2 linked regions of the Ovis aries genome follow. The protein of the gene in region 1 interacts with the protein of each later gene in a biochemical or structural test. Links are inferred from orthologs where the notes say so. Each region holds a gene or a part of one and is shown in the gene's direction. Other genes may lie near its edges.

The links.
Region 2: the proteins of SLC9A1 (region 1) and TESC form a complex in vitro, tested with the Homo sapiens proteins (4 studies listed by BioGRID and IntAct, with this or other methods). The link is inferred for Ovis aries from reciprocal best matches to the Homo sapiens genes SLC9A1 and TESC.

The regions. Positions count from the first base shown.
Region 1 is NC_056055.1:239,812,714-239,817,228, forward strand, and holds the start of SLC9A1 (sodium/hydrogen exchanger 1), read left to right. Parts: upstream 1-1,520; 5' UTR 1,521-2,319; coding exon 2,320-2,671; intron 2,672-4,515. UniProt on the Homo sapiens protein: Electroneutral Na(+) /H(+) antiporter that extrudes Na(+) in exchange for external protons driven by the inward sodium ion chemical gradient, protecting cells from acidification that occurs from metabolism.
Region 2 is NC_056070.1:58,035,038-58,038,782, forward strand, and holds part of TESC (calcineurin B homologous protein 3), read left to right. Parts: intron 1-2,784; coding exon 2,785-2,924; intron 2,925-3,745. UniProt on the Homo sapiens protein: Functions as an integral cofactor in cell pH regulation by controlling plasma membrane-type Na(+)/H(+) exchange activity. Promotes the maturation, transport, cell surface stability and exchange activity of SLC9A1/NHE1 at the plasma membrane.

The DNA.
Region 1 (4,515 bases):
TTGAAAAAAGAGGGAATCCTGGACCCAGAGACAGAGGCCCAGAGAGATCACCAAGTTGAAAGGTTGCTGTTGAATCACAACGCTGGGATTTTTGGCTCCTGGAGGAGAAGAATTTAATCTGGGGCCAGAGACGAGGCTTGATCATTTAGAGCTTTTGTGTAATAAAGTTTTATTAAAGTATAAAGGAGATAAAGTTTTTGACACAGGCATCAGAGGGGGGCAGAAAGAGTACCCCCTCTGCTAGTCTTTAGTTGGATATTATATAGTTATTAGCAGTCTGTTAATGAAAGAAAGGAATGTCTTAAAACTTAGAATGGCACCAGGCCCCTTACTCATAAGATGTATTTTGGGATAATTTTGGCACCAAATGGCTTATTTGGGGCCATAAAATGATTAATTTGAATTTTGAAGAAGGGCAGATTATTTTTTTTTTTAAATATCACTAGTTTGTTTCCTCCTGCTGCTTAAAAAAGATAAAAATGTCTGACACTTACAAACTATTTCCTCTGTTTAGAGACCCCTGGCCTTCCTGCCTGTTACCCTCTCAAAGTGAAGACTGGTGTTACAATGGAGCACCAAAGATTGCTGCAAACCACCAGAAGCTAGGAGAGATACCTGGAAGAGATTCTTCCTCAGAACCCTCAGAAGTCCTCTGCTGACCCCTTGACTTCAGACCTCTAACCTCCAGTGTATGAGACAATAAATTTCTATTCTTTAAGCCACTCAGTTTGTGGAACTTTGTTACAGAGGTCCTAGAAATTCAACATAACTATTTTGATACTATCCAAGGAAATTTCTTGACCTATTTCTTCATCTGCAAAGCTGGAAGCATCATCATGGTTCCACATCCTGGGCTCCATTCTAAACACTTTGCATAGATTATCTCATTTAGCCGTCACTTATACTTTACTACTGGCTTCCTTGGTAGCTCAGGCGATAAAGACCCTGTCTGTAGTGTGGGAGACCAGGGCTCGATCCCTAGGTTGGGAAGATCCCCTGGAGAAGGAAATGGCAACCGACTACAGTATCCTTGCCTGGAAAATCCCATGGACAGAGGAGTCTGGTGGGCTGCAGTCCATGGGGTTGTAAAGAGTCGGGCGCGACTGGAGCCACTAACACAACATACTTTGCTACAGCAGGTATAGGTACTCCTGTTATCTCCACTTTTTCAGATGAGATAGCTGTGGAACAGAGGTTAAGTAATTTGCTCAAGGTCGCATGGTAACTAAATGTCTAAGGCAATAAAACATCATTCACGTTTCCTGGGAAGTCTCCATGAGACTGCGAAGGTGGATGTGAACAGCGCTTTGTCATTAGCACAGCATTTTACCCTTTTTAAAATTAGAATCTCTAGATGCTGGACTTTGGCCATCTCTGACTCTTCCCTTCTCTTTCGACGCGATCCTTCCTTTCCTCGGCGACAGGGGTCGCTGCATCGCGCGGGCACTGACAGGTCCTTCTAGCCCGCAGCGCCGGCTGCTCGCTGGTGCCTATAAGTGGCAGTACCGAGCTCAGTAGACAGCAGTCAGCCGCCGCCGGTGCCAGGGCTGGGGCTGCAACTGGAAGTGGAGCTGGACGCGGAGGAACTGAAGCTGGGCCAGGGTGCAGCGCAGCACGGCGCCGGGGCCGCAAGGAGGGGCATTTCGCTGCTGGCCCACCGCGAGCCGCCCCCAGCCCACGCCAAGGCGCCCTTTCTCCAGGCCGCCTGCCTCCGCCTTCCGCCTCCCTCCATTTCCCCGGAATCTCAGCCCGGCGCGCCTGCACCCCGGTCCTTCTTTGGGTGGGGAAGCTCCCGGCCGCTCTCTGGTTTCACTCCTTCCTCGCAGCCTGGGCTCTCAGCTCCCTTTCTTCTTTTCCTGGACTGGGTCCCACCCCCTTCGATCCCCTTCTTCTAGCTCAGGCTCTCTACTCCTTCCCTTAGCAAGAGTCCCAGCAGCTCAGCCACTCTTCTCAGCAGAGGGTCCCCGCCTTCCCTTTTCCTTGCCTGCGGCCCCATCCTGTTCCTTCCTCTGTCCCTAGGGTGCTGCCTCTCCCCTCCCCCACCCCCTTTCCCAGGCCTGGAGTTCCAAACCTTTTGGTCTCCTCTTATGGTCCTAACTGGGTCCTGGTCCCTCTTCCCCAGTTTGGCGTTCTAGATCGGGAACCCAGCCTTCTTTCCACCTCCAGAGGACTGCTTCCACAAAAACACATCTCTCAAACATGAACTTTGCCTAGAGATTCTCGCAGTCTCTCCTGCCCCCTCCTGCTGACCCCTTGCTACCTATGTCCCAGGTCTTACTCTTATTTTGCTAAGGGTCGGGGGGGTGGGTAAGCAGCGGGATGCTTCTGTGGTCTGGCGCCAGTGGCCTCCCTCCGCCTCGAATCTTTCCGTCGTTGCTTGTGGTGGTAGCCTTGGTGGGGCTGCTGCCGGTTCTCAGAAGCCATGGCCTCCAGCCCAGCCCTACCGCCAGCACCATCAGAGGCTCAGAGCCTCCCCGAGAACGTTCAATTGGGGATGTCACCACCGCCCCACCGGAGCTCGCCCCCGAGAGCCGCCCAGTTAACCATTCCTTCGCTGAACACAGCCCAAAGGCTCGAAAGGCCTTTCCAGTCCTGGGCATCGACTACCAACACGTGCGCACACCCTTCGAAATCGCCCTTTGGATCCTACTGGCCTGCCTCATGAAGATAGGTAAGTCCACCTAGCCCCCGATGCTTCCGCTGTCACCTAGCTGAGGAGCCTGTTCCCATCCTTACCACTTGAAGCTGCCTAGGAATGAGGGTCTGGACTGGTTCTGTATAGTAGGCGGCCTCCATCCGGCCATCTTGATGCTTCTCAAACTTGAGCTCTGCGGCCTCCTCACATGGGAGCGGGGTATTGCTCACGGGAGAGAGCAGGACTGGAGGATGCTTCTGGTCCTAGGTACCTTCAGCGAGGCTCCCAGGCCTGGTCGGCCTCCTCTGGAGCCAGGTGCCCAGCTGTGTGTGTGTGAGACAGGCGTGTCTTCAGCAAGTGACACAGTCTGCTCTGTCACCAGCCACCAGTGTAATTACATGCTTCATGGAAAGCTGTTTCAGGATGGAGGATCTTTCTACTTGGTTTGCCTAAGGAGTTTGAGTAGAGTGGGCAACGTGTGTGCTGGAGACTTACAGGTGTGGTGGAAGATGAGGCATCACTGTATTCTCACCTTCCTTCCTTCATCCCTGGAGTGTTATCCATCAGCTCTGCCTGCCCAGGCTGGTCAGGAGCCCCTGAGTCAGTTTCCTGCCCGGGAATGCCATTCTTTATACAGTTTATGGGACAGGGGGCCTTGGGAATTCCTGAAGTCTGGTTTGAGGTGGGGGAGGGGGAGTGGAGGATGGTCAAGCTCACCTCCAGGTTGCACCCTGCTGCGTCTCAAAGTGCTGTCCAGCCGGGCCAGTCATGGTGGCCTGCCTGCTACTCAGCCAGGTGGGAGAGGGACGGGTGGAGAAGCTCAGAATGTTCTGATATGAAGAGACTTTGAAATGTTCTTTTTGGAAGAAGGAAATAGAAAAGTGGTTCCCCTCCAGAGGCTGTCTCCCCGCTAGGTCTGGGCACTCTGTTCTGCTGGGTGATAGATGCTGGAGATGCTCCAGGTGATAGGTGTTCCAGATGCTGCTGGAGCTCCCCAGAGCCTGCCCGACCCAGAAGTCCCTGGAAGTGGTGTCCTGGGGGGCTTTGACATCCGCCTTTGCCTTTTTAGCCCCCAGCCAGCTGTGGAAGGCACGAGGGCCTGGGACTCTGCTGGTTTGGGTTTGGAGAGTTTGTGATTTTTGGCAGGAAGCCTTGCAGCTCTCCCAAGGACACGCGGGAGCTGAGGGCGATGCCAGGCTGGTATGAGGCAGGCTCCGGGACATGCTGCAGGAGGGCTCGGGTGCTTCTGTCGTGACAGATCTAGGAGCTGGCTTCCTGATTCAGGGCTTCGGTGCTGTGACAGTGGCAGGCCTGTACATCGGGCTGGGCCACCAGCACCTATCCCCTGATGGCAGCCTGGAAAAAAAATCAAGGCCGGGGCAAGGGGAGTCGTGTGTACTGATTCTGACAAATACATGACCTTGAACAAACTGGGCTTTTTTCTGCAGGTCTCGCCCACCTGTGAAACCGGCAAGAATCTCTAAATTTGACCATCCATTGAATCCTGAAGCCCCTGTGTCCTAATTTGTTGTAAGAAGCTGAAGTGACTGGTGTGTCATTTGCCTGTGTGAGACCAGGAAGAGGCCTCACAGGCACTATTTATAAATTGCCCTCCTCCTCTCTCCAACCCCGTCACCTCCCAGCCGCACCTGGCATTGTGTTAGGGTATGGGGGGGGGGTCGGGGGGACTAGTGCACGCACGTGGGGCTCAGTGATTTCTGGTAGGTCGACAGCATGACCACTAAGCTCCTACTCTGGACAGCCAGGAGTTGGTCCGTGCAGGCCTGACTCCAGTCCCAATGGGACCAGGTTTGGCCTGATTTGTCCCCACCAAAACTGTGCCGGGGCCCCGGGAAGTTGGCAGAGGTGGTGCCATGACA
Region 2 (3,745 bases), on another chromosome or scaffold:
GCGTTTTGGGAACAAGACAGTGAAGCAAAAAGCTGGTTGGAAGGCAGTTTGAGCCAGGTCTGTCCCCACCTCCAAGGGTTCTGGTCCTCACAGTCACTGGAGAATTAAGGAAGTGAAAACACTGCACTCAAGCAGGCTTTCTTGCAAAAAGAGTGCTGTGATGCAGGGCTGCAGATTTGGATGTAGCCCCCGTTCTTTTAGGGTTTCCCAGGTGGCACTAGTGGTAAAGAACCCGCCTGCCAATGCAGGAGACTTGGGAGACGTGAGATAGGTTCCCTGGGTCAGGAAGATCCGCTGGAGGAGGGCATGGCAACCCGCTCTAGTATTCTTGCCTAGAGAGTCCCATGGACAGAGGAGCCTGGTGGGCTACAGGCTATAGGGTCGCACGAGTAGGACACGACTGGAGCGACTTGGCACGCACACCCAGTCTTCTACCCGCTGACCCTGGCCTCAGGGTGCCCGCTTTGGAAACTGGAGTGGAGAGCAGGTGGGCCCGGCTCCAGGCGCTATGTCTGGGTTTCCTCGGCCTCTGCCCTCTGGTCGCCTTGAGAGACCAGGAAGCTGGCCCACATAGACCTCCCAGGGACATTAGGATGGGAAGGAGCCCCTTGCCCCAGAACTGGGTCCTGATGCTGAAGCAGCCAGGTCACAGCCTCCCCTGATAAGCAGACACACATGGCCTGCCCGGCCCAGGGTCCGTCACATTTCCCCGAGCTCATCTCTATCCCCCTTGCTGCAGCCAGAAGCCCCTGAGAAGAAGATGCAAGTGAACCATGCCTCCTAGGAGCCTGGTGATGCCTGGGGCTATTTTTACACCTTGTAAGTCTGGTCTGTGCCCCTGACAGCAGGAATTCTGAGGTTATTAAAAATCTGTCCAGAGGAACAGTGGGAAACCTTTGTAAGAGATGATTTCAGAGAAAATTGAGGGGAAAAAAACACACACACTCAAAGACTAGGCTTACTGAGTCCTGGGGAGATCTCCTCTCATCTCTCTAGTTTGTTGTTTCACAATCCACCTTTTGTGATCCAGGCTCAGGGGCCACTTTTTTCTGGAAAATCTCCTGGAACGGAAGCTTGGGGATAGTGAGATCTCTAAACTGTGAAGTGTGGTGGAAGCTGCAGGGGCAGGATTTGAAGGGGATCAACTGTGCCCCTGCTTCCCTGGTGGCACAGCAGTAAAGAACCTGTCTGCCAATGCAGGAGATGCAGGTTCAATCCCCGGGTTAGGATGATCCCCTGGAGAAGGAAATGGCGACCCACTCCAGTATTCTTGCCTGGGAAATCCCACGGGAAGAGCCTGGTGGGCTATAGTCTATGGGGATCACAAAGAGTCAGATACAACTTAGCGACAAAACAGCAACAGCTGGGCCCTTAGAGAGAGAACCTTGAACATGTTCCTTTAAGCTGAGATGTGGTCTTAATCCCAGGAGGCACCCAAGTGCATTTGAGAAGCACCATCATCCCAGGCAAACAGAACTGTCCCTTTGCAAGGAGGCACAGGGAGGGCAGGGGGACCATCAGACAGATGGCGACCTGCCCCAGTAGAAGTTGATTAGTGGTAGGAGTATGGCAGCAGTGGGTCAGGAGACCGTGTTTGGTTGGAGTCGGCTCCAAGCTGTTTTCTCAGCTCCTCTGCCAGGACCTGCACTTGGCTTGTCGGTGCCCTCGCATGCATTTGCTGAGTACCCGCTGTGTGTTCAGCATGGGATGGACCCAGCCTTGGGTACCCTCCCCAAGTCCCGCCAGGAACTCAAGCCCTTTCCCACCCCTTAGGAAAAATACATTGGCGGGGACAACCTCAAACATGCCCTGATCTGTTAGAAAACCTGCAGTTAATTGGTGCACTTCACACTTTGGTAGGAAACAGATTACTCAGAGTGCCTGCCAACAGATCACTGTGCCCGAGTTTCAGACAGCTGATAGAGAGCAGGAACTGGCAAACTTTCTCTAAAAGGCCAGAGAGTAAATATTTTAGGCTTCGCAGGCCACATCGTCTCTGTTGCAACTGTTCAGCTCTGCCTTTGTAGCCTGAAAGCAGCCGCGGATACCATGTAAATGAGCAGGCGTGGCCGTGTGCCAATAAAACTTTATTTCTGGACGCTCAGATTTGAATTTCATGTAATTTTCACTTGTCATGCGATGCTATTCTTTTTTTTCCCCCTTAACATTTTTTTTTCAGCCATATCAAAACATACAAACCCTTCTTAGCTCATGGGCTATATAAAAACAGGCAGCAGGCAGGATTTGGCCCCTGGGCTGCAGTTTGTGACTCCCTGACCCTTTCGATCTGAAGGGAACAGCTGGGCCCTTAGAGAGACCCCTGCCCTCCAGGCCACAATCGCCTCATTAATAATAAAATTAATGACAGCGAGCCCATGCTGTACACCGACTGGGCCTGGCGCTGTGCCAGGTGCTACCCGTGGGCCCAGGGAGGCTACCCAGTAGGGTCTGTGGCCCCCCAAAGCCCAGCCTCACCTGCCTGGGTTCTGTGCACCAGGCATGCCTGGCAGCCCCCGCCCCACAGACACAGCTGCCTGTGTCTCCCCCAGACCCCCACATGCTGGTTTCTGGGTGCGGGGAGTGCAGCACAGGGCTGGACTAACCCCCCAGGGGGCCCCCGGTACCCCCCACGAGCTGGTCGCTGGGTAGCAGAACCCAAGGCTGGGACAGCCATTGTAGGTGAAGCGAGTGCTTGGAAGGGCCGGTTTCTCTGGGGCTGTGGGTGACAGTGAGATGAGCTTCTGTTCTGAATACACTGCCGACACCCCCTTGTTGCTCCTGCAGGAACCTGCGCAAGGGGTCCAGCGGCCTGGCCGATGAGATCAACTTCGAGGACTTTCTGACCATCATGTCCTACTTCCGGCCCATCGACACCACCATGGACGAGGAGCAGGTGCAGCTGTGCCGGAAAGAGAAGCTGAGATGTGGGTGTCCCGGGGCCCCTCCCCAGGGCGCACCTGGCCGTTCGCATGTCCCCGAGGCCTGCTGTGCCCCTTCGGGGGGTGGGGAGGGTCAGGGAGCACCAGCTCTGGGCCTTGGGGAGGAGAATTTCACAGCACAGAGGGTGCTCCCTCTCCTAGGCTGTTCTGAGACAGCCTCCTTGTTGACACTCCTCAGCAACTGGTGATTTTCTGGAAATAGAAGGGTCTGTCGGTGATGGGAAATTGGTTTGGACAGACTTAGTTTAATCCAGCCCTTCCACTAAGCAGCTGTGTGACCTTGAACCTGACGGTGGGAACGCGGGCTGGACACGTGGCTGGTTCTGAGGCTGGAGGAGACCTCAGGGCTGCTCTTGTCCCTCGCCCCGGTCCATGGCCCGCCACCAGACTCGGCTTCCCAGGGCGGCCTCTGTGGGCCCATGGCCCACGCTCGGAGCCGCTCTGGCCCTGGGTCTGAGTGCAGGGCAGGCAGCGCCCACCCCTCCCCGTGCTCTTTCCCATGACCCCAGCATCCTTCTGCACCCCGCCCCCGAGGGAGCAGCGTCTGCAGGGAATGTAAACACGGGCCTGGGCTATACTTAGCTCGGGATGTGGACCGAGGGCTGCTGGGGGCAGGGGGATGGCGCCTGGTGTCAGCCCAGCTTCCAGATGGTTCCAAGGGCTGGGTCAGGGGTCATGGGGCCTATGGGATGGGATGGACTCTGGTTCAAACCCGTGGCTGCCCCTCCGTTAATGAAGTGAAGTGAAAATCGCTGTCGTGTCCAACGCTTTGCGACCCCATGGACTGTAGCCCGCCAGGCTCCTCT